2 linked regions of the Tribolium castaneum genome follow. The protein of the gene in region 1 purifies or fractionates together with the protein of each later gene. This does not show direct contact. Links are inferred from orthologs where the notes say so. Each region holds a gene or a part of one and is shown on either strand. Other genes may lie near its edges.

Evidence for each region.
Region 2: the proteins of ND-ACP (region 1) and LYR motif-containing protein 2 purify together in Homo sapiens (affinity purification with mass spectrometry; 3 studies listed by BioGRID and IntAct, counting the BioPlex papers as one, with this or other methods). This does not show direct contact. The link is inferred for Tribolium castaneum from reciprocal best matches to the Homo sapiens genes NDUFAB1 and LYRM2.

What each region holds. Positions count from the first base shown.
Region 1 is NC_087399.1:2,701,010-2,704,117, reverse strand, and holds ND-ACP (mitochondrial acyl carrier protein 1), read right to left. Parts: upstream 1,451-3,108; 5' UTR 1,410-1,450; coding exon 1,254-1,409; intron 1,145-1,253; coding exon of another isoform or gene 1,037-1,144; intron 1,013-1,036; coding exon 896-1,012; intron 821-895; coding exon 641-820; 3' UTR 586-640; downstream 1-585. Other genes in the region: SPRY domain-containing SOCS box protein 3, read left to right, coding at 1-131, 176-387; SWI/SNF-related matrix-associated actin-dependent regulator of chromatin subfamily A containing DEAD/H box 1 homolog, read left to right, coding at 2,112-2,211, 2,261-2,472, 2,520-2,727, 2,880-3,108. UniProt on the Homo sapiens protein: Carrier of the growing fatty acid chain in fatty acid biosynthesis.
Region 2 is NC_087397.1:4,274,508-4,278,455, forward strand, and holds LYR motif-containing protein 2, read right to left. Parts: upstream 2,581-3,948; 5' UTR 2,445-2,580; coding exon 2,406-2,444; intron 2,361-2,405; coding exon 2,142-2,360; 3' UTR 2,088-2,141; coding exon of another isoform or gene 699-2,087; 3' UTR 693-698; downstream 1-692. Other genes in the region: prefoldin subunit 3, read right to left, coding at 1-265, 345-425; S2P (membrane-bound transcription factor site-2 protease), read left to right, coding at 580-654, 699-2,087; Sobp (sine oculis-binding protein homolog), read left to right, coding at 2,706-2,777. UniProt on the Homo sapiens protein: Involved in efficient integration of the N-module into mitochondrial respiratory chain complex I.

The sequences.
Region 1 (3,108 bases):
AATTGAATCATCTTTACAACTCACTTGCCTTCAGTGTATTATCAAACATCCAGAATTGTACAAACAGTTCAAGAGCATCCCTGGATTAGCTAAAATCTACGAACACAATTTTTTCTGGATGCTTCCGAAAGGTGACTTAACTGTTAATAAAAACCAAGCTTTATTGTTTCTTTAGAATATGAGGACCCTAAACGAAAGGCTAAAGAAAACATATGGTCGTCCAAGCGACGAAAAATGCTGATACCGATCAAGTGGCCGCGCTGTCTCGACTCTGAACAACAAACGCTCAAGATCTCGTTACATTTCACCAACTATAGTGACTCAGAAAGTAGCTGTGATATGAATTATGATGGTTCCGGAGATGCATCAACTTCAAAGGAGGTTTAATAAAGATTTATTCATATTGAGTCTTTCATTGACCAATCCGAGTGCATTATGACGAGCACGTGACAATTCACGACCAATGGGAATGTAATGATCGTTTGACAGTTGGTAGAAAAATAGCGTATGTAATACAATGAAAACACTCAGTTAAAATTTACGCTTTATTAACAAATCAAATTACATTATGGTGCAATTCTGGCAAATCAGTGCCAAAACAAACACAACATTAAGCCTTATCTACTGTTTTACTACAAACCTATTCGTAAATGTCTTCCCTGTCCGCAACATACCTCACGATATCAGCGGGTTTTAGCAGTTTTTCGGCGTCTCCGTCTGGAATTTCGAACCCGAATTCGTCCTCCATGGCCATGATCACCTCCACATGGTCCAAGGAATCAAGCCCCAGATCATTAATAAAGTGTGAGTCTAGCGTGAGCTGAAACGAGTCAATCGTAACACGTCCGTCAGGATCATTCCAGAGACTGTGCCACAAAGTGCAAAATTACCGTACCTTGTCTGGATTGACTTTATCGTACAGTTTTAATACCAAGAGGACGCGGTCTGTGATAAGTTTTAAAGTCAACGGTGGCTTGGAACTGTAACATCGCTCAAGTGGCAAAACCAGTCTCTGAAATAGAAAATTATGTAGTACCTTGTCGGCGGTTACTTTATCATAAGACGCGCAAACTTTCAAAACTCTCTGTTTTATCTCCTCTTCAGTCGGTTTCGTCCGAATTACTTCAGGCGAGTAGAATCGCATCTAATAAAGTGAGGTTAGAAGTTATGTAATCACAAAAAACGCACTTTTTTCCACCAAATCACCCTAATTGAACGGAAATGCAACCGCTAATCGGACAAACTGGACGTACCTGGCTAAGGGGTGCAAATACTGAGCTGCTTGTAACCGGGGGCTGGTCATAATTTTTGTGTTTATTGGCAATGACAGTCAGTGGCCTAATCGCAACAGCTCGTAAATAACTCGAATTTCGGGATAAAACGCGCACGCTTTTTATCAAACCGGACATTTTTGCAAATATTGTTATTCAAAAACTTGGCCTAAATGTCAGCAAATGTCGAGAGGCGGAAACACACAGCGACATCTACGACGTCCGGTCGACTGTCAATCTTGAAAGCCGCGAAACTAAATTATATGTTTAGGTTAACGCAAAAAAATAAATTGCGTTCCCATTACTAGAGAAATGGCATAGAATTAAGAATTTTACTAGCCCCAAGTCACTAAATGAGCCTCTATGGCCCCCAATGACAATGAATTGAAGTACGAAAAGTGTGCTTTGGATTAATTTTACGTTTCATTGTTTTAAGACGCTACACAAAAAAAACCAATTTTACTTCAACTGGTGTTTATTTACAATAAATGCGTTAAATAATTTAACGGTAAGTCACCTTTTACGTTTTTGTGTTTGTTGATCTTAAAACCATTAACTTGTAAGTGTTGTAAGTCGTAGTTTCGTTTTTGTGGTTATTGCAGTTAACGTTGGGTAGAGGACTTTGTATTTTCGGGAAATTTATTATTTATTAGTTTATGAGAGTTGGTTTTAAATTACTTGCGCGAATTTTGCGCTTTTGCCTCATTGCTGCCACCTGTGAGCGGCAATAATCCCACTCTTCCACCATCGTCTGTCAAAGGTGTCTGGTGCCTCAATGAGAACGATTTTGTAGTTTTATACTTAATATTTTATGTTATTTATAAAATTGTAACTGGCGCAATGTCAGAGAACGGCAGCCCCACGTTATTAAATTTGCGCGATTTCCGAATACAAAAAAAGACGTTAAGTCACCACAGTAACAACGGTGCAATTAGCTCCGGTAAGACCAAGTTCATTTTAATTAATAAACTGTTAAACATTGTTTCCAGCATCCAATGGGGCTGTGAGGCGCCGAATAATTGCATTTTCAGATTCTGATTCCGACTGTGATAGTTCTGGAACAAATTCTCAATCTGCGGTGACTCCAAAACCAAATATTGTCATTGTCCCCAATTCGAAAAATATGAAGAATCCGGCCGTTTTGGAGAAGGAGAACCAGATGAAGTATTTAATGTCGTCATTCCCGAATGTTGATGCTATGGTACTGGAGCATGAAATTAGTTTCCTTAAGTGGCGTTTTTAATCTAGGTTATTCACGATGTGCTGTCTCGTCATGGGTTTAAAGTAGACGAAGCGGCGTCGGAGTTGGCCAGGTGTCACGCTGTCGAATTCAATTCGCAAGGTTACGCCAAGTGGAAGGAAGCGAACACTTCAAACAATCCCGAAAGCCTGGTGAAAAGCACTGGCAAGAGGAAACCCTCCCCTGAGAGCGCGCCCTACAACAAACGGAAAAAATGTAACTAGCTTAACAAGATAAAGCCCGGAAAAAAAAAACGTTAATTGAGAAACTTGTTTTTGCAAAATCTCGCTTTTATAATCGTGTCTTTTTTTGGCGGTCAAGCAATTTTCAAGCAGCTATTTCTGGTAAAAAAAAATAATTCTTTGTAGTTAAACGTCGGAAGTCCGATGACGACACGGACGACAGCACTGGCAGCAATCAGGACTTCAAAGACCGTCGCGTGTTTGACAGTGACGAGGATTCGGACGTCGAAATTAGCGATGAATTAACCGGGGACAAGAGGAAAGTTTTTGAATTCATGCAAACGGCAACTGAAAGCGAGCTCCAATTGATGAGTTTCTGTTCAAAAAAGAAGGCAGAGGCGATCATTGAAGCTAG
Region 2 (3,948 bases), on another chromosome or scaffold:
TCTCAGTTGGTGGCACTTTAGCTTTGGCGAAAACCTGTTCGCTGAGCAAAAACTGAGTCTCGAATTCGTTTTTCTGTTCGCCTAGTTTCTCAATCATCGTTAACGAACGCTTCAGCTCGGGGACTTGGTTCTGGAGCCGTTTTTTCTTCGACAATAAATTATATTCCATAAACTTATACTTGGCATGTTGGTTATCTAATTTTTTCAACACTTCTTCCACGTTTTTGTTGTTTTCGGGCCGCGCCATGTACGCATCCACATCTTCCTGAGACAGGAAAAATCATAAGGTCGGGATTGAGGTTACGTTTTTTCGAAAAACATGTGGACGGGGTTTCGACACTTACGACAAATTCGGCTTCGGGGATTCCAGCGTAGGACTTTTTGTCTCCCAGTTCTGTGTTATTTTCCGATTCTGACTGTTCCATTCTAGTTTTTGCAAAATTTACCCACTCCACCGACTAAACAATTGAAAGTTTGGTGGTTTTTATTTTATCAATTCGTTGCGTTGGTAGCCACCACTCTATTATGTGGGGTTAGGAAATTTAATAATTTTTTGAAAAATGAGTTAAAAACTTAAAAATGGACTTGATTTTTGGCTTAATGACAATAGCGGCGATTTACTTATGGGTTCTCTTCATGGACAGGTTTTTTAAAGTAAGTCGGAACACGTTTAGTGCCCTTAAAAACCACAATTTTAGTCATGTTCTCATTACGGATACATCCAATTTCTTAAAGGAACGGGCCTGGAGATCAAATTGTTCCAGTTTTCGTGGACCACGACAGCCTTTAATAAATTGCTGCTTAAGTGGGGCAGTCACAACACGAAATTTCTTAATTTGTGGTTTAATTTGGGGCTATGTGTGAGTTTAGTTTTGCTGCCTGCTTCGATCTACCTATTGTTAGTGGCTTTCTTCCAAAACTTTTTGTCTTCGGCAAGTGGCGAGGAAAGCATAATTCAGCCGGTAGTCCCGGGAATAAACCTTCCAGCATCCGAAATGGGTTACTACAGTTTAACTTTGCTAATCAGTTCGGTTTTGCACGAGCTAGGCCATGCGTTAGGGGCTGTGCAAGAAGACGTAAATGTGATCAATGTGGGCGCCAACGTAATTTTTATTTTGCCAGTGGCTTACGTTAACTTAAATTCCGACAAATTATTTTCTCTAAATCCTTGGAAAAGACTCAAGATTTTGTGCGCCGGAGTTTGGCACAACTTGCTAATTGCACTCGTAGCTTACTTACTCTACACTTCTCTACCGTCCGTTTTTTCACCGTTTTTCAACTTTGGTAAAGGAGTTGTGGTAACGGAATTTGAGGCAAAATCGCCAATTTTCGGAAATAGGGGTTTAAATGTTGGCGATTTAATTTTGAAAATTAATGATTGTGAGGTGGACGATGAAAATGCGTGGTACAAATGTTTAGTGGCTTTACGCACAAAAAAGCCCGCGTTTTGTATTGAGGGCGACGTTGTGCGCGATCTGGATGAGAGCGTTCATTTGAAACACTCCGAAAGTGGGATTGTAAGCTGCTGCCATTCAGAGAATAAAGGCAAATTGTGTTTTGAGTACTTGGATAGTAAAGACAGCATTTTGGAGCTGCCCCCTTACGCCTGTTTGCCTGGAAGACCTGCGATCGAAGCCTCGACAAATTTCTGCATATCTGACCCCCATGTTTGCCCCAAAGATACTTATTGTTTCAGACCGATTTTAACGAATAACACGAATTTGTTTAAAATCAAGCGAGTCAACAAAAACGACGTTATCTACATTGGGCCCGTGTCTGATCTTGTGAGGACAGTGACGGTGTCCTCATACGTCCCAAAATATTCGTTTTTAGGGACGCGAATTCCCGATGTTACTACCAAATTTCTAGGGTATTTAGCTATGTTTTCAATGGGGCTGGCTCTAGTTAATATCTTGCCCTGTCTGTTTATGGACGGCCAGCACATAACGAACACTTTGTTCCACATAATATTCGCGAGTCATTTGAGGACCACTCATATCAAGATTATTTCAGGCGTTGTGACCGCTTCTTTCACACTCTTGTTAGTGATTCACTGCGTTATTGTCATATGGACTAGACTTAATTAAATTGTTGAATAAAACCGTTTTTTATCTAACAAGTGTATTCATTTCAATCACAACCTATTTTGCCAAAGAAATGGTATTTTCCAGTTCCTTTAAACACCTTTCCCCGTACTTGATGTACATTTTAATAGTTATCTCATCCGTGTGATGAGCGTTGCTCCTGAAATCACGTCTTGCCCATTCCTTCAGCTCCTGCTGGTGCCCCTGATCGGGCACTTGCCGTATAGCCCTGAAGATTTTCCTGTAAAGATTCTTAACTTCTTGTTTCAAGATAAACTAAAATATAGGAATTATTCAAGATTTGGATATGAAACCGATTACGTGTTTCAAGCTAAGGGCGGGTTTTGCAATTTTGGACATTACACAATTTTGGGGTTGGTTTTGGTGCGCTTGCGCATTTGGTAGACTTGCGCGTTTTGAATTTGAAAGTGTGGCGGGAATACCCCACTTCGAGTACCAAAATAATCACAACATTATTGAAAAGCTCAGCTTGTAGTTCTCATCGAAATTTTCCTAGTGGCGCAGTATTAATGTGAAAAGTGATTTTGTCCGTCATTTATTGAGTCAGTAGTGCGTTTTGAATTTTTGGTTTTGGCCTTTTTGCACATTTGGTTTTCATTTATGGAAAAAAGTGGCGCCGAAGAAATTGCGAAAGTTACGATTAAAAAGGAAGTGCTTAACGATGATATAAAGGTGGGTTCAATTTTGCGATGTTTAATTAACAAGTCTGGTTTATTTTAAAAGCATACAGATTTACAATGTCGATTTAAAAATAGATTTCGTCATTGTTGATGTGTTCGTTCGGGAAAGAGGGGGCCAGAATGTATCCGATATAATATCATAAATATACATTTTATTTATATTTTTTTCTTGAGCGTTTTGATTATTTTTCGTGTCGATTGTGTTAAAATTTAAATGCGTTGTAGGCTTGAGCACGGGCCTAACATGGATGTGTAACATGAACGCGATACCTGATATGGGGGTATCAAATGGCAGATGGCGTGCAACTGATACCCATCAGCCAGACATCGTAAATACACGTTATTTTATATCCTTGCATCTCGCTGGATATTCCGTTGATGCTCTACAAATCATACTTCTCAAAACATGTTTATTATTTTAATTTAAGCGGCTAACAGACAAGCAAATAACCTTTATTTAAACAATTACCCATCATTAGAGCTGGCCAAATAAACATTTTTCCTTTACAAGGATCCCAATCGCCGCTTCACCTCAAGTTACCCACACTGCTACCAGTTTAGCAATGCCATTATTACCGGAATCAATTTTTCAAAGTTCAAATTCAAATACAAAAAAAACTAAATTGTGTTTGGAACCTACTAACTAAAAATCTTTATTAATTATATTTTATGTTATTCATTCAGTTGTTGCAAAAAAATAGTGGAGCCTTCAGAGACAGACTATGGAACAATCATGAATTAATAAAAAAAAATTCGTATGTTCCCTAAACGTACATCAAGCTCCGAAGGTGGTCTGTTTGATATATTTAACAATTTTGCTTCTTTATATTTATTATAACAAATCTTATAAATTGGCTTACAAAAAACTAGGGCACATATAAACATATCTCTCTGTCAATCCATTCTTGAATCTTTTTTTTAATTTTTTTTTCTCAAATATTTTTCTAAAAACAAATCGTGGGAGTTGGAAAAATGTAATTTTTTTCTATCAATATTTTGTTTGTAATACGTATTTGTAAAAGCTTCTGTAATTATTTCCATACATAGCAAAACTGGGTTCATCTGGTATAATAGATCCAAATTGGTTTAAAGTGTCGAGAAAAGAGATAGAATCGAGTAGAGGAAAGATTAAGTTACAAGAGCATATTTAAGATCGATACTAT